Linked DNA regions of Nothobranchius furzeri. The protein of the gene in region 4 interacts with the protein of the main gene of each other region in a biochemical or structural test. Links are inferred from orthologs where the notes say so. Each region holds a gene or a part of one and is shown on either strand. Other genes may lie near its edges.

Region 1 (3,520 bases), on a different chromosome or scaffold from region 4:
AATAAACTGCTGTGGCTGCAGTTTCTTTTATTTTTATTTCTCTTTTGACTGAAAAAGTGGTCACACTGGAACCCGAGGACAGAAGCAGAAACGTTGCTGCTCAACAGCACCATCACCATTGCACACCCACCTCTGCACTGCCACACCCAGACGGTAAACCTGTACAAGTGAAATGAAAACAGAACCGGGGCATTATGGGATGGTTCCAGCTCACTGCCATCTCTGACAGGAACACCTCCCCGTCTCACACTTACAGTCAGGCGTTTTCAGCTGCGGAGCCGCTCGAGGCACCTGCGTGCTTCAGCTCACACATCAAGCAGAGGAAGTTGAACATTTGGAGCTGACCTTTGGGGGAACTCTGTGGGATCACTACTTCAGCTCCAGCATTTAGTGTTGCAGCTGAATGGTATCCCCAACTCCTTGTTGATCTCAGCAGCTGTAGTTGTTTTGCTCCGTGGAGCTCTAACCTCTAACAATGATTACAGGCCACGAAGCAGGGTGCAAATTTTGGCATGCCACCTGTAATTTGGCAGCTAAAAGGTTTAGCTAGAGATGTTGGTTCTGAAGGTAATAAGGAGGTTGAGAAGCCTCCTCCCTAACGGAGGCCTGTGTAACATGTGCATACGTGTTACATCAACTTTCTGCCATTGATTTTAAAAGTTCAAACAGAATCTTTAACACTCCAGGTTCGCCAGCTTTAATCTGAGATGAGAACTGTTGTCTTGCAAAGCTTCGAGGCTTTTTTCACACTGTGACCTCCAAAATGCCATCAGAGTCTAAGTCGAAGTGGATTTCTTGAAGGTTTTTCATCTATTTTTCTGCACAATAAAAAAAAAAAAAACAAAGAAAGAAAAGCTTGATGCCAATCTGTCTGTTTTAAATCAATATAATGCACCTCATAAACCTAATATCAGACAGAAAACACACTTTTCTGCAACTGGCAGGCCTTTCCACAGTTCCCACCACCATCTCTCATTAGAAAGCACTCCTTCATTTTCCTGTTTTTTTAAGTTTGGCGCAGCTTCAAAAAGAGAAACTATAAAATAATCACTTTTCCCTTTTCTTCTGAGTATTTATTTGACTGTTTGAAGTCACAAGTGATGCAACTATTTTAATAAAACAAACAAAAGAAGGTGCCACGTCTTTTGGAGCCACCAGTGATTGAAAACGTCTCTTTCAGGGCGCTGACGTTCCAAACTCATTTCATTCCTCAGTCGAAAATGCGTATTGCTCACTAATCAGCCCGGCTACTACTGTAAAGTGAAATTTTGTTTTTCTTTACTCGTGAATAGGATTGAGCAAAAGTTTTCAACCATTATTCAATGTCTCTAACAAGCCAGACATTCTTGATGAGGCGTTCTTTAAGCTTAAAGATCTCTACGCTGTTTGGCTGCGTTTACCTCCCTCCCTTCAGTCCACTCACACCGGACCGCGGCAGCTTATAGAAGAGCCCTGTTCTAATCTCTGCTTGACCCTTATCAGCCAAGGTTCAGACACTCTTCTGGTTGTACTGATATTTTATTAATGTTATAATCCAAATACGACTCTGGTCGCGGTGCCGTGCTTGTATAGTTCTGGTGTTTGGCTGCCTGGAGCTCGTGTTGGTCAGGCCTCAACACTAATACATGTAAAACAAACACCCAGGTGTCGTGGGTTCAGCCAGCCACTCAGAGATAATACGTTTAAACTCTCTTAGGTAATGAAATCCGTAGCAGCTCATTATATAAAAATCAAGATCATCACGGCTAATATGTTTAAATTAGACCCCATTTCCTGCAGGCCTGAAGTTATTAGAGTTCAAGACAAATATTTATTATTCAAATATAAGAATAATCATACAGACAACAGACAGTGATCCTGACTCATTGATAACTAAAGTGGCCTAAAATAACTGAATAGGTACGGTTGATCCAAACCACACACTACTGAGCCTACAGCAACAAGGCAGCAGTTGTCTCTGAGACGCTGTGGTCAGACAGAAAGCTGCTTTTAGCTCAGAGGTTCATCGTCTTTCAAGAAGGACTTGTCCAGTTCCTCTGTGCTCACCTGAAATGTTCGGAGCCATTCCTGGAGACCCGAAGGTGGCTGGATTGAGGTGATGCGTCGCCTCTGCTGCCCCTGGCCATTGGCTGCTCTGATGTGGCCGAATGTGGTGGGTGTTGCGGGACATGGGACAATACCTGTTGGGCTGTAATTTAGGGACAAAACACAAGACACCTTAAAATAATCAACAACGATAGAAGAGACAACCCACCATTGTCCAAAGTATTCAGAAAACGGAATCAATGCTTTTAAAAGGCTGTTTTAACTCAAGAGTTTCATCTAAAACCTTCACAAAGACCTTTTCGCTCAGACACATAGATATACACAGACTAGCGTCAAAATGTCCAGAATACACTGATGTCAGCGGTGCAGGACTTCAAAAGGACCGGGTGTACCTTTTTAATAGCAGGGCAGTAGCAGAAACTACCCTGCAGGCCCTCTTAAGGCTTTGGGTTTAGCCTGCTGGCAGCCAAATGGGTGCTTGGGGTCGATTTCATTATCGATTCATTTTTAATGGGAGAGGAAGCTGAGAGGGGGCCAGTTACATGGCAACATTTACACTTAAGTGGCTGTGTTCAGTCAGAATTTTAATGGTGCTACATGTGAACATTAAATATTCAGAGTGAGAGAAACATCTGGATCTACAGCACCCGCCTGTTTGACGGTGTAGGCCGCACCTCTGTTTGAAACACTTGATATTTTTTATTTGGCCTAATCAGAAGTTCATGTAGTGCGTGTGGTGCATGAGAAACACAGTGCACAGAAAAATCAGCAGCAGGATGTGTAGCTGTACCTTGGGTACTCTGAGCCTTTGCAGGGTTTTTTTCCTGAAGGGAACGATCGGACCTCGGGGCCATGGTCCAACTTTCTCTTCATCTGAGGGAGATGGGACAGAGAATTTTAAAATGTTGGAAATCAAACACAAGCTAAAGTCTATAATCCTTCATTTTAGATCCAGAGAATATTTCACTGTGCTTGGACAAAGCCAGAGTTTGGAAATCTAATTTAAGACAGACATGGGTCAGGGAGGCTTTCAAAGACAAAAGCAGAGGCGGAGCGTTGCTTCTAAATACTACAGACGAACACTAAAAGTGATGTTTTACATATTCAAATACAACAAATGGGAATTTACATCATGCAAATAAGAAATCTCTTGTGACATTTCAGTTTCCCACCTCGCTCTAAACTAACATAATCCATCTGTAGACAAAAAGTTCTATAATGTGAGACAGCAGCCAAAGTAGGTGACTAACTCTGTTTGTCTTCATCTCAAACAAGATAAGCACAAGACCGGTGATCCCCGGGCAACCAGACACACAATAATAACCAGAGGCAAACACATTCACACCCAAATTCCAGGAGTACAGCGTGTCCGTGCACACACACCACAACCACAAAATATGAGACGTCTAACAAAAAAGGGTACAAGGTGCACTTTTAACTCTGTGCTTCATCCCAAACAAAACAAAAGCAAGTG
Region 2 (3,238 bases), on a different chromosome or scaffold from region 4:
AGCAGGCGAGAGCACAAGGCGATGGCCTCTGGAGGTGTGCGAGGCCGGAAGACCTGAACGACAAATTACAGACACAAATCAACAAGATGACTGTTGCTCGACGAAAGGTATTTGAGGACAGCTAACACATTTGTCAACATGTAAAAGCCTAGAAACAAAGTTCATTTATTTTTTTCCAACACATTTGCAATAGTCTCTAGTAAAAACGAATGCCATGTTAGTTAATCTGTGTGATAAAAGCTCTGACACTCCTGTTTCAGGAGCTAGACGTTAGCCAGAGCAGATGACGGCAGGATTTGGTGTCTCTCTTACTGATACCTGCACATCTCACCTGACTGGCTAACAGCAACGCGACTCTACCACCTCCTTCATTTCCTCTGCAATGGTGATGTTTTATCTCCACAAATAACACAAGTCAGGAGGAGTTCTGTCAAGTTGTGAAGTTGCTAATGCTAATGGTTAGCTTCTACTAGCCAAAATATGCTCTACTCTCTCCTGGACGCTAAAACAACAACAGCCTTCTCCGTCAGGAGCCAAGATGGGTGAGTCTATAATTGCTAATTTTCAGTGTGACGTGGATCTGATTGGCTTTTCTAACCTAAGCATTTCTCCATCTATTTTCTATTCCCGACTAATGCAGGAAATAGGGGTAGAAGACTATTCTAACGTTTAACCTGCATGATAAACTCAGTGTGACCGATCTAACTCAAAAATAACAAGTAAAAAATGGTTTGTGAGTACATTTCTGTGGGGAAAAGGCTTTGGCGCTCCTGTTTCAGGAGCTAGAAGTGAGCCACGTTGAACTTGAGCTTCAGACGGCAGGACTTGGGAGTCTCATTTGCTGATTTTCTGACATCTTGCTTCTAATTGGCTAACAGCAACAAGACTACCACCTCCTCCATTTGCTCTGCAACATTGATGATTTATCTCCATAAATAAAACACGCCTGAAGGAGTTCTAATGTGGTGGAGCTGCTAATGCTAACTGTTAGCTTCTACAAGCAGAGAGGCACTCTGCTGTTTCCTGGACGCTAAATCAGCAACAGCCTTTCCAGTCAGGAGCCAAGATGGGCGAGTCCATGAATGCCAATTTGACATTATGATGTGCTAAGGTCACTGGCTTTTCTAATCCGAGTGTTGTCCCGTCTATTTTCGATCAGAAGTTGATGCAGGAAATAGAGGTGAACTTGGCTTTTAAGCAGATTAGCAGGATAGTACTGCCTAGACACGGATCACAGATTTCTGTGAATTTTTTTTTTCCCACTGAGTCTAAAAAGTCAAAGCGAAGCTTTTTAAACAACATTGATTGATTCAATCTGGATGAAGATGATGATGATGATGAAGCAAAGACAGCAACAGTGAAATGAATCATGAGAGGAACTATAAAGTAAAAGTGCTCTTGTACCTGTTGACTCACCTTAGTCCAAGGATGTGCCTTAATCTGGGGGAATTTGAACTCAGTGTAGTTGGGGTTCATCTCGCGTATTTGCTCTCGGGTCGGGGTTCCGAGAACCTGAGAAAACAGGAACAACCAACAATCTCGACAAGCTGTTTGCAAAACTACAATAACTCACAAAAGGGAAAAGAGGTCAGGTTACCTTAATTATTTCAACCAATTGATCCACACCACTGTCGCCAGGGAAGATTGGTTGTCCTAGCAACAGCTCTGCCAGCACGCAGCCAGCTGACCACACATCTGCAGGAGCAGGCAGGTCAAAAACAAGTCAGACACCAGAAACAGAAGAACAGACACACATTCCCACTGGAGGGGGGAGCCTACCTATGCTGGAGGTGTAGTCAGTGGCCCCAAAGATGAGTTCAGGGGCCCGATAGTAGCGGGAGCAGATGTAGGACACGTTAGGTTCTCCACGGACCAGCTGCTTCGCACTGCACACAGAGATCAAAACATTTATTATATGATGGCAAAAATGCTGATCAGGATTTTTGTGACTGAAATAGAGATCCGAATTATTTAACGCAATCTTTAATTAGAGTTGATAGAAATTTATTGAACATTAACTGGCTTTTAAACGTAGTTGTTTTTAAGATTCCAGACCTTTTTTCTATTTTTTATAATAGAGCCAAATTTGCCCCACAGGAGTCAAATAAACATGCTGTAGGGGAGCGTGTACAGTAGCGCGATGCAACAGATAGATGAACTTTTATTATGCATCAGTGTGAGAAATCAGAGGTGTGGCATGAGAGCGCGTGAAGACAGTCAAATGCATTTGTCTTATGCTTAATGCGTGAGTTAGCAGCCCTGACTGTATTGATCCACCATGGGTATAGTTTGCTGTATCTTGAATTTATTTAGCTTATAAAAGAACTGGCTTTGTGAATGTGTAAGATCAATAGAGAATGATTTCCAGGGTTCCCCCCAGCGATTTAGCCAGGCCAAGCGTCCATCCCCACCCCCGCAGTCACGGACGACGCACTGTAGCGAAACGAGTCCATGAATATTAAGTGACAGTGTGACATAGATCTGCCAGGCTTTTCAAATCCTAGAGTTTCACCTTCTATTTTCTACCAGAAGCTAAAGCAGGAGACCTTTTTCATGTTCAGCCTGTATGAAAAACTCAAGAGTGAACGATTAAAATCAAAAATATTAATTAAAAAATTGTCCGGTTTGCACACCTGTAACTGCAGTAGAGACATCAGAAATAAACAAAATGCTTTAATCATCTCAACAAACAGCAGGGTCTCTTTTCTACTGTGTTCATAAATCAGCGTCTCACCTGCCAAAGTCGCAGAGCTTCAGTACAGCCGTCTCTGGATCAAGCAGCAGATTCTGGGGTTTGATGTCCCGATGGCAGATTCCAAATGAGTGGATGTAAGCCAGACTCCTGAACAGCTGGTACATGTACAACTACACAGGCGAGAACACACCAAAGTGGGTTAGAAAATGTTCTAAACAACAGGAATATTCTCACACTCAGATTAAATCGGATTATATTAACAGTAAATAATGGTTAGAAAAACAAATAGTCATAAAAAGAACAAAAATTTAGAGGTTCGGTCACATTTTATACTTACAAACTCTAACTTAAATACCAACAGTTACTGTAATAGTTTTCTTTAATAGTTTGGGCATGGAACACACACACACACACACTTAAATACCTTGACATAAATCATGGGCAGTGTCTGTTTGGCTCGGCTGTAGTGTCTGGCCATTCTGTAGACCGTCTCAGGGACATAGTCCAGAACCAGATTTAGATACACTTCATCTTTCTGTTAAG
Region 3 (2,807 bases), about 50 Mb from region 4:
GAGTACTTCAGACGGGACCCTAGACCCTTTTTCAAGTTTGCTAAGGTTGGTTTGTGGTGTCTGCTGAGCTTTTCATGCAGGCTGAACATGAAGATAGTCTCCTACACCTGTCTCCTGCTTTAGCTTCTGATAGAAAACAAACGGTGAAACTCTAGGATTAGAAAAGCCTGACAGATCTACGTCACGCTGTCACTTAACATTCATGGACTCGCCCATCCTCACTCACGACGGGGAAGGCTGTTGTTGGTTTAGCGTCAAGGAAAAGGAAGCTAACAATTAGCATTAGCAACTCCACCACACAGCAAAACTCCTTTTAGGATTGTGTTACTTTTGGAGATTAAACATCAACATTGCAGAGCAGAGTCAGTGGTAGAGTCGCTTTGCTGTTAGCCAATCAGAGGCGAGATGTCCTAATATCAGGAGATAAGACTCCAAAACCTGCCATGTTTCTTCTCCTGCCGACTTTTCTGACCCCAGACAGCCGCACCAATTTTTTCCCCAGAGTACGACACTTAAATTCATTCCTACTGGCGACTACTGTAAATGCATTAAAGTACAAGTAGAGTTAACCATACATAAATATAAAAGTATGTATTGCTCTACACCCTCAGGTTTTGGCACAGTAAAAAAAGGTTTCACTGAAAACTTTAAGATGCCTCAAGTAATGAGTCAGAAAAGGGCCGGATGATCAAAAACAGACCCAGACGGGCTCCGTCAACAGGCCTTCCCCTCTCAGCACGTGACTTAAACATGGGAGGTGGAGGTTGTCCCAAATAAAGGTTACGTAGATCACTAGCATGGCAATATTTTAGTTTTTACAAGTTTTACAGAAATAAACAATGGTTGTTTGCAAAATTAGCAGAAAATTGATGAAATACAAGTCTGGTAACACGACTAACTTGTTTATCACAAAGTAATGACTTAAAATGACCAGGGGTCTCATTTATCAAACATTGGTAAATCCGTACTAAAACCGTACTTAAGCTCAACAAAAAAATGTACTTAAGCCAAGCAGGTTTGTGATCTATCAAACATGGAGTACACACAGCTGCACGCAATCTCCGCTTCATAAATCAGAGACTATCTAGAAAGGTTCTCAGCTGCATTTTAGTCACATCTCGCCCTCACCACGCCCACTTACTGCCATAAATGGTCAATGCAAAGTGCCTTGTGGATCTCATGCATATACATGAGCCGTTGCATATACATGAGCCGGCTTGTTGCAGCATTTCGATCATGACCGCAGATCAAGGAGGCGCTATTTCACAAGCAGAAGTTGAGGTACTTGTGGGTGAGGTGGAGAAATGAAAGGAAGTGCTTTTGCAAAACAAATAAGAGAAAATCCACAGAGTGGCACAGCGTTGCTGAAGCCGTCAATGTTGTGAGTTCTTCAGAGAGATCTGTGGCGGATATGAAAGAAATAGTCCAATCAGGATTCGATCCCCAGACTCAGGTGAGTCACGCTAACCAGTCATCCAAACAGAGATCTCCCCTGTTCAAGTAGCCAGGGTGCATGATCAATCGGGTCACAGTGACAGGACACACACACACCGTCACAGACGCATGACATTCTGTCTCAATCTGTCCCCCTGCTGATATTCTGCATTCCGTATTCTGTGCTTCAGGCTGTGTGTGTGCATGCATGTGTGTGCGTGTGTGCGTGTGGGGGGTCTTGTTCTGTGAGAAAACGAAGCAGTACCAGTGATAATGCTGCAGGATTTCATAATTGTATCTTCTCAGCAGCAGCGCTGCAGGTGCTCTCCATGTCCAACATGTGTGTAAGCCAGGTCCTTAGTCAACTTAAAGTTGCGCACATTTTTCTGCCAAGTTTTCTTTCATAAATCCCAAAGTTTGCGTGAAAAGTTGCTTACGCAGTTTTCCGACCCTGTTTCGTGCGTAAGCAAGCTTGATAAATGAGACCCCTGGGCTGCATTTAAAATGAGTGGTTTATTTATAGTTCACAATAATTATTCAAATCAATCAATAAGAATTTTTATTGCTATTCCTTTTTTCTATATCGTCCATTGGTCATCTTCCGTTGGTATTGAGATCAGTTTGGGCTAGGGATGCACCGATACCAGGAATCGATACCAGGAATCGATACCAGTGCAGTTGCTTGAAAACGGCTTTACTGTAAATTGTCGTTTCTGTTCACTTAATATTTTAGTTTTATGATGATTTCCATTCATATAGGTTACTTTTTATCTACCTCACAGTATTTTCCTGTTGAATGCAGAGAAGAAAATTTCATCTGTATTCCAAATCATTGCATTTTTTTGTGTGGGAGGGGTATCGGTATTGGCGAGTACTGAGATCCCAGTATCGGTTTGGAAAAAAGGGGGTATCGTTGCATCCCTAGTCTGGGCTGAACTTTTAAAAACCTGTTAAAGAAGCAAACGTGAATTTGTTTCAACTCTACTGCTAAATAAGTCTTCATTCCTGCAGGAGATCTACCCCGGTCAGTTCCAACCTTCACCCTGCCACAGGTTCATTTCGATGTTAGACAAGCAAGAGAAGCTGCTACGCAATTACACACAAAACATCGACACGTTGGAGCAAGTGGCTGGAGTTCAGAGGATCATCCAGTGTCACGGTGAGTTTTAGTTTGCATTTTGTTGTACATCTACGCCGCTGCCATAGCGCTAAATAATCATGTGTGTGTGTGTGTGTGTTTTATTTCAGGGTCCTTCGCAACTGCGTCCTGTCTTGTTTGTAAACAAAAAGTGGATTGTGAAGCTATAAGGGAAGATGTCTTTAATCAGGTACATTTTAAACTGGACCAACAGAACGTTGATCGCTGCTGCTGT
Region 4 (3,520 bases):
CATGCTTCATCTCTAACAGCTACCACCCTGAATAAAGCTGAAACCTATTGTTGAAGCTATTATTGCAGCAGGTCTGGTGTTACTCACTTCCTGACTGTGTTTTGTTGCTAGTTTTCATAATATAACTGTAATTGTGGTTTAGATGGTATGAATGGTTTCATGTTTTGTACAGTTCTCTGAGGAACCTGTGTGCTGACCACCAGGAGTGGTTCTGCAGCAGAAACCAGGAGAACGGTTTCAAATCAAATCAAAGATACTTTATTGATCCCGGAGGGAAATTAGAGTTTCAGTACACACAATTCAGAGATCAGACATACATGGGCAAGACACATGACAAGAATTGGTGACTGTGGTCATTCGCAACCCTGAGTCGCGCTACCTTAATAGAGATAAGAGGGTTACATGAGGATTGGTTCAGGTGGAGGGAAAAAACGGCACTTCAGAGTTACCCTCCAGCAGGAGGGCAGCTTTGCTCTGCAAAAAACACCTCAAACATATATGCGACAGACTTCAGACATTACACAAACATGAGACTCCAATAGGAAGGTGGGGGGCTGGGATCCTGTTTCCCCCAATGAGAGCAGCCATCTACGGCGCTCATCTACTGTACAGTCACAGGTGGGAGGGAGATCTTGGGAGAAGCAAAGAGCTAGGGCTGTAGCGAAGCCTCGACGAAGTCGACGGCTCGATTCTAAAAATTTGTCGACGTCAGATCTGGAAGTCGACGCACCGCGCCCACTTGTTGCATCCCCAGGAGTTTGTAAATAGAGGAGGAATCTGCCTGTTTTTCCTCTAGTTCGCCCTCTTCTCCGCCTTCACTAACATCTCCGCCAAATACCGAAGACCCGGAACAACGTCCGTCCATTACTAGATTCCTTTCCTGTTTTGCCCATTCGTCTCCCGGCAACGGACAACAACTTCCGGGTCAGATGCGCTGCTTCGTCTCTATCGCAGATGTAGAAAATCACCGGGAGCGTTTCTCCCTTCATTAAGGAGCTTCTTTCAGACATTAGGAGAGCTGTTTTGGTGGTAGCAGTCTCTCCTCCGTGCTGGTCTGTTTGCTGCTGGGTGTTTTTGGTTTATTTAAACTTGGTAACTTGAACTTAATGTTGGTAAAGCTACTGTTAGCATCTTCGCTAACAGCTTCTTGCGTTTGGATAAGCTGTTACGTTTTGGTTTAGAGTTCATCTTTTTTGTGGTGTAGATCTCCCTTTCATTACATTTAGAGTGTTGTGGGTTTTCGGTTTAGTTCAAAATATCACCTTGAGTTTGGTTTAACCCGTAAGACCAGTCGCCTCACGCACATAAGTGACCAAAACAAAGCAGCATGGAGACACTCCGTCTTCTACCACCTCTCAGGCAGCAGCCTGCTCTCCCACGTTCTACACGTCACCAGAACATAACCAACCAACACAATAAAAGCAGTGTTATACAAAATGGAAGGCCTGTAGTGTTTATTCTCTTACAGAAACAATTTATCAATTTTTTGAGGAATTTATTAGAGATTTTTTGGTTTTTGTTAATTGTGCAATAGAAAAATAATCATTAGATAAATTTTCTAAATAGTCATTAGAATAGTCGACTATTCGATAAAATAATCGTCAGAATAATCGTTTTAAAAATAATCGTTTACCCCCAGCCCTACAAAGAGCACATTGACTCCTACAGATTTGGGGACTTCAGCCTGGCGAGGTCATCAATCAGAAGACGGGGGGGGGGGGGGGGGTGTTAGGTTTTCACAGCATCTGTCTGCATTCCTTCGTGGGGGTTTTATTTGCTCGCCGCTCAAGGCTACCAGGGCGTCAGATTCAGATAACACGACTTTGTTTGGGTCAGGCTGAGATAATTTTCCTCTCTCCCTTCAGTATTTAAACTGATCATTCCAGTCCTTCAGTGAAGCTAATTTTAGATTTTTAAACCTGTCCATTCCGTCCGTTGACTCTCTCCGAGATGACATCCATTTTGCGCACTAATACCGGTAACGCAGCTAGAACATTGTACAGCTTACGATTCACCTCGAGTAACGTCCCAGTCTGTGAGGTCTCCACACGGACGGTGCTTTCCGTGGGTCCGGGTCTCCCTCCAATCCTCCCGTCTTGCCAAATTTCCAGAAAACCAGATATCCTCCCACTCCAATCAGGAGAAATCCAGTGATCATCAGGCCGAATATCCACACGTCTTTGATATCCTCAATGGACAGCTGGCTGAGGCATATGATCTTCCACTCCCTCCAGGAATCCAAAATATACCCCACCGGGTGTGTCTCCTGTGGACATGTGGGAGCCCCCTGCTCCGTTCTCATTGTTGAAAAAATCTTATCGATCGCAGTGAATGACCAGTTTATCAGATCCATGGTTAGTAAAAATAGAGTTTTTCAGAAGAAATGCAGTGAAGCGCTCTGTGGGCAGACAGGACAAAGAGCCTTGAGAAAAAAAGATAAGGGAGCGAAAGAGAGAAGCGTCTGTACTCCTCTAGTGCCTTGAAGAGAATATGGGATGGTTAATATATGTATATATAAAACTGTAATTGTGGTTCTGCTTCTTCCCTGTTTGCAGTTGGCAGCCCCAGCAGCGTGAGCCTCCCCATCACCACTTTGTCGTCCTCCCCTCCCAGCGTCCAGCCTGTGGCTATTCAGACTCAGCTCCAGGCGCTGACCACAACCACCCCCATTTTGGCCACAACCACAAGCCCTCCAGCTCAGACTATCGCACCGCAGATGCAGCAAGTTCCTGTGAGTGGGTGAAGCCGACCAATTGGATGAATGGCGTGTGTGTGTGTGTGTGTGTTACTGATTTGTGGATATTTGCGTGTCTCTCAGGTGCTGCTGCAGCCCCAGTTCATCAAAGCCGAGTCCCTGCTGCTCACCACTCTGAAACCTGACCCGTGCATCGTCACAACCGTAGCCTCCCCCACGTCTCTGGCCACCACCAGCAGCCCTGTTCAGAGCACCTCCCTGCAGGTAGGCGTGCTTGGATTGAGACTCAAAAATGATGGCGTCTGATATGAGTTATAACTCTTCTTTATTCCTCTCTAGGCCTTTGTGGGCGGTGGCACCATCCTGACCACGGTACCTGTGATGGTGGATGCTGAAAAGATCCCAATCAACCGCATTGCCATCGCCGGCAAGCCAATGGGACAGCCTCACAAGGGGGAGAAGCGCACAGCTCACAATGCCATCGAGAAGCGTTATCGTTCTTCTATCAACGATAAAATAGTGGAGCTGAAGGACCTGGTGGCTGGAACGGACGCCAAGGTGGGAGACTGTTTATCATTTACACTTCTCAGTGTTCTCTGTTTATACCAGACTGCGTAGCAAAGGCCCAACTGAACGCGATCCTTTTTACAGTTGAACAAGTCGGCGGTTCTGAGGAAAGCCATCGACTACATCCGCTACCTGCAGCAGACCAACCAGAAACTCAAACAGGAGAACATGGCTCTCAAAATGGCCACGCAGAAAAACAGTAGGCGCCTTCTCCTGCAGTTGTTTTTGCCCCATAAGAGTATTTGACCTTTTGTGATG
Region 5 (3,520 bases), on a different chromosome or scaffold from region 4:
TCCAGACCATGTCGTTGAGGATTTCAATGCACTTGTTGAGTTGCTGTCCACCTGCAGACGTTGAAAATTCATAAACGAGGAAGTCGGCGAAGGTACGGACGTGAGCCACCAGAGCGCGAGCTCCAATTCGCTCCAACACCCTGATGAAGAGGAGAAAAAAAACCAAAAAGAGTGACGAAGTGAGCCTAGACAAGTTTGGATTTAAAAGCAGCAAAGATCAGAGCGGACCTGAAGCCTATCTGGTTGATGTGGTCGGTCTCCAGCAGCATCTTCCACAGCAGACACAGGAAGAGGGGAGGAGAGCCCTGCATGGAGAAGTGGGTGATGATGTCGTTCTCGTTGGCCATCGACTTCCACTTCCTGTACTCTTCTTCCACGTTTTTCTTCAGGTTGAAACGAGACTCCTGAGGAACGTTGTTCTGTTTAAAGAACGCCTGAAACACACACAGGTGCTGAAGTTAACCCAACAAGTTGTTTAATTTAATAATTCATTTATTCACTTTTGTCCCGCCCTGTTTGTTGAGGGGGAAACCTTCTGCACCTGCAGCGGAGCAGGGAAGCAGGACAGAGTGTGTGAGGCCCAGTTGTGAGGTGTGAAGTTCATGATGGTCTGGAGGATGTCCTTACACCAAGTCCCATGGATGGAATCAGACCCTGTGAAAAAGTCTCATACAGACAAACCAGCACAGAGACTCAAACACCTGATTCTATTATTATTATTTAAAAAGGCAGTAAATTAAACCAAATGTGAGTAAATGCAAATCCTGTCTAAGAGGTACCGGTGACATGTGTGGCTCGAGCCAGAGTGAGGATCAAGGCTCGGTTCAGCTCCTCCGATTCAGCTGACAGAACCGTCTTCGGGTCGTTGAGGAAGCGGGTGAACTGAGGTTGTACCTCTGAACTCCCCAAAGCTGTGATCAGCCTCAGAGCCGTGCTCTCAACGCTGAGAAGGAGACGAGAAATCTGTTAACTAGGTCATAGGAACAGCTTGCGATGTCTCGAGATGCAGAGTTACCACAGGTGCAGCTGGTTCTGGTTGGTCTGCGGTACCGCGGACAGGCTGTGCAGATGACTCAGCAGCTGGATTCTGTAGTGCGGCTGGACGTGGTGCATCCTGTAGCTGAACATCTCCAGCAGCGTGTGCAGGATTCCCCACGCGTGAGACTTAAACACGTTGGGCAACAGCTGGCCTGAAGTGAAGAGGTGGTTAATCAGATTATTTATGATGAATGAGATATGTGCCTGCCAACTCCGGGTCGGGGGAGGGGTCCTACCTCAAGGGGAGGAGTTTAAGTATCTCGGGGTATTGTTCACGAGTGAGGGTAGGAGGGATCGGGAGATCGACAGGCGAATTGGTTCGGCGTCTGCAGTGATGCGGACGCTGAGCCGATCTGTCGTGGGGAAGAGGGAGCTGAGCCAGAAAGCCAGGCTCTCGATTTACCGGTCGATCTAAGTCCCAATCCTCACCTACGGTCATGAGCTTTGGGTAATGACCGAAAGAACGAGATCGCGGATACAAGCGGCTGAATTGAGTTTCCTCCGTAGGGTGGCCGGGCTCAGCCTTAGAGATAGGTTGAGGAGCTCGGACATTCGGGAGGGACTCGGAGTAGAACCGCTGCTCCTCCGGATCGAAAGGAGTCAGTTGAGGTGGTTTGGGCATCTGGTCAGGATGCCTCCTGGACGCCTCCCTGGGGAGGTGTTTCGGGCATGTCCTGCCAGCAGGAGGCCCCCGGGTCGACCCAGGACACGTTGGAGAGGTTACATCTCCAATCTGGTCCGGGAACGCCTTGGGGTCCTGCCGGAGGAGCTGGTGGAGGTGGCCGGGGAGAGGACGGTCTGGAGCTCCCTAGTTGGGATGCTGCCCCCACGACCCGGACCCGGATAAGCGGAGGAAGTCGATGACGAGATATGTTATGAGCTAAATCTCAGAGCTCACTTCAAGTGTTCTATCAACAAGGATCAACCTAAGTAAACCCACTGATGAATCCTTTGATGCCCAGTGACTCGATCTCCATGTAGACCAGCAGTCGGCTGTATGTCTCCACCAGTGCGGGGGCCAAGGCCAGGCTGGACTTGGTGTGGGCCAGCTTGATCACACGTGTGGCGATGCTGTGGATCAGACTGAAGACAAACAGGAAGTGAAAGTTTTAAACAAAAACAGCTGAAGTAACTTAAGTTTCTTGTCCTACCTCATCTTAGCATGCACAGTGATGGAATCCAACAGATTCATGGGCAGCGGGGTGATGGATCCCGACGCCATGCAGCTGGTTCCAGGCAGGTTGATCCTTACAGATCCGTTTCCATAAATGGTCTCCACCAGGACCCCCATAGGCAGGGTGAAGCACTCAGAGTTTGTGCTATAAGCGTTACACAGCAGGGCGATTTTATAGTCGGACATGCCCAGGGTTTTGTTACGAAGAGACTGCTGGAGGAACCTAAAACCCAAAGACAGAATTAACTAGATAAAAGGGTGATTTTAGTCATTTAAGGCAATGTTCCAGATTTTTACTCGTGGTGGAGTTTCAGAGAGTGTGGGATTGGTATCTGCAATTTGGAGTTGTCATTCTGAGCTTTGCGGTTCAGATGGATCCAGATGCAGGTCATGGCAAAGGAGTGGGTGGACTGGGGCTTGTTAATGTCAGGAACCTGGATGCACTGCAGAGGGACAGACAGTTTAGGTATCGTCTGCATTACTGACTAAAGTAATGATGAGAAATACAACAATTATTAGTTAAAATGGTTAAATTAATATTAAATTAATATTTTTATTTCAAAGCAGCCAGACAAAGAGCAAACTGAAGTCTTTTTGGTACAAATAACAGCGATCGTGTCTTCATGTTACCTCTTTTTCAGGGTACAGCAGATCAAAAAGCTTCATGACCGGCAGGAAGTCAGCCAGTGCATTTTTCTGAATGCTGCCAGATATAAACTGCAGCAGGACCCACATCAGGTGGTCCCTCCCTTTTATTAGGCCTCGGCCTGCAAGCTGAGGAAAAAGAATATCAGCTTTATTAAAGGGACTTTACGGACTTTTGAATGTTTATGCTCGCTATTGCCCCCTCAGGCCAAAAGCGTAACAGAAGCTTCAATGGTAGGCTCATGCACGATGGTGTACGTGCACACTCCTTAACGAAAATAACAGCTGAGACAGCACGTGCACGCGCGCGCGCGTGTGTGTGTGTGTCTGTGTGTGTGTGTGTGTGTCTGTGTGTGTGTGTGTGTGTGTGGCCCAGAGGACAGAGGACAGGAGAACGCGCAGCTAATTAATTAAATAATTTGGTTCTGTACCTTTCTCTTCAGCACAGCCGACAAAGGTTTATGATGGGTCAGTCCTCCTGCATGCTCAGATCATTCCCTTCCCTTGCTTGAAAAATTGTTCCAAAATGAAAGTTGAACCCACATCTTTTTTATCTGTGAATTCAATGCCGTTCGGCGAGTCTCAAATAAAAATTTGGGCATCTTACTGTAAAAAATATACCATTAATGTAAAAAAGAAACTCTAAATAAACTATGTTCACAC

What was found. The genes of interacting proteins can lie anywhere in the genome.
Region 1: the proteins of srebf1 (region 4) and fbxw7 form a complex in vitro, tested with the Homo sapiens proteins (3 studies listed by BioGRID, with this or other methods). The link is inferred for Nothobranchius furzeri from reciprocal best matches to the Homo sapiens genes SREBF1 and FBXW7.
Region 2: the proteins of srebf1 (region 4) and gsk3ba form a complex in vitro, tested with the Homo sapiens proteins (2 studies listed by BioGRID, with this or other methods). The link is inferred for Nothobranchius furzeri from reciprocal best matches to the Homo sapiens genes SREBF1 and GSK3B.
Region 3: of the proteins of srebf1 (region 4) and sirt1, one has a biochemical effect on the other in vitro, tested with the Homo sapiens proteins (2 studies listed by BioGRID, with this or other methods). The link is inferred for Nothobranchius furzeri from reciprocal best matches to the Homo sapiens genes SREBF1 and SIRT1.
Region 5: the proteins of srebf1 (region 4) and med23 form a complex in vitro, tested with the Homo sapiens proteins (2 studies listed by BioGRID). The link is inferred for Nothobranchius furzeri from reciprocal best matches to the Homo sapiens genes SREBF1 and MED23.

What each region holds. Positions count from the first base shown.
Region 1 is NC_091747.1:80,739,323-80,742,842, forward strand, and holds part of fbxw7 (F-box/WD repeat-containing protein 7), read right to left. Parts: intron 2,920-3,520; coding exon 2,837-2,919; intron 2,189-2,836; coding exon 2,047-2,188; intron 1-2,046. UniProt on the Homo sapiens protein: Substrate recognition component of a SCF (SKP1-CUL1-F-box protein) E3 ubiquitin-protein ligase complex which mediates the ubiquitination and subsequent proteasomal degradation of target proteins.
Region 2 is NC_091754.1:24,484,243-24,487,480, reverse strand, and holds part of gsk3ba (glycogen synthase kinase-3 beta), read right to left. Parts: intron 3,231-3,238; coding exon 3,120-3,230; intron 2,866-3,119; coding exon 2,735-2,865; intron 1,887-2,734; coding exon 1,780-1,886; intron 1,696-1,779; coding exon 1,598-1,695; intron 1,513-1,597; coding exon 1,405-1,512; intron 54-1,404; coding exon 1-53. UniProt on the Homo sapiens protein: Constitutively active protein kinase that acts as a negative regulator in the hormonal control of glucose homeostasis, Wnt signaling and regulation of transcription factors and microtubules, by phosphorylating and inactivating glycogen synthase (GYS1 or GYS2), EIF2B, CTNNB1/beta-catenin, APC, AXIN1, DPYSL2/CRMP2, JUN, NFATC1/NFATC, MAPT/TAU and MACF1.
Region 3 is NC_091752.1:5,649,141-5,651,947, reverse strand, and holds part of sirt1 (NAD-dependent protein deacetylase sirtuin-1), read left to right. Parts: coding exon 1-45; intron 46-2,445; coding exon 2,446-2,593; intron 2,594-2,682; coding exon 2,683-2,762; intron 2,763-2,807. UniProt on the Homo sapiens protein: NAD-dependent protein deacetylase that links transcriptional regulation directly to intracellular energetics and participates in the coordination of several separated cellular functions such as cell cycle, response to DNA damage, metabolism, apoptosis and autophagy.
Region 4 is NC_091752.1:55,490,118-55,493,637, reverse strand, and holds part of srebf1 (sterol regulatory element-binding protein 1), read left to right. Parts: intron 1-2,555; coding exon 2,556-2,731; intron 2,732-2,818; coding exon 2,819-2,959; intron 2,960-3,034; coding exon 3,035-3,253; intron 3,254-3,346; coding exon 3,347-3,461; intron 3,462-3,520.
Region 5 is NC_091742.1:26,135,527-26,139,046, reverse strand, and holds part of med23 (mediator of RNA polymerase II transcription subunit 23), read right to left. Parts: intron 2,987-3,520; coding exon 2,843-2,986; intron 2,656-2,842; coding exon 2,510-2,655; intron 2,436-2,509; coding exon 2,190-2,435; intron 2,122-2,189; coding exon 1,979-2,121; intron 1,191-1,978; coding exon 1,016-1,190; intron 944-1,015; coding exon 780-943; intron 667-779; coding exon 542-666; intron 435-541; coding exon 229-434; intron 141-228; coding exon 1-140. UniProt on the Homo sapiens protein: Required for transcriptional activation subsequent to the assembly of the pre-initiation complex. Component of the Mediator complex, a coactivator involved in the regulated transcription of nearly all RNA polymerase II-dependent genes.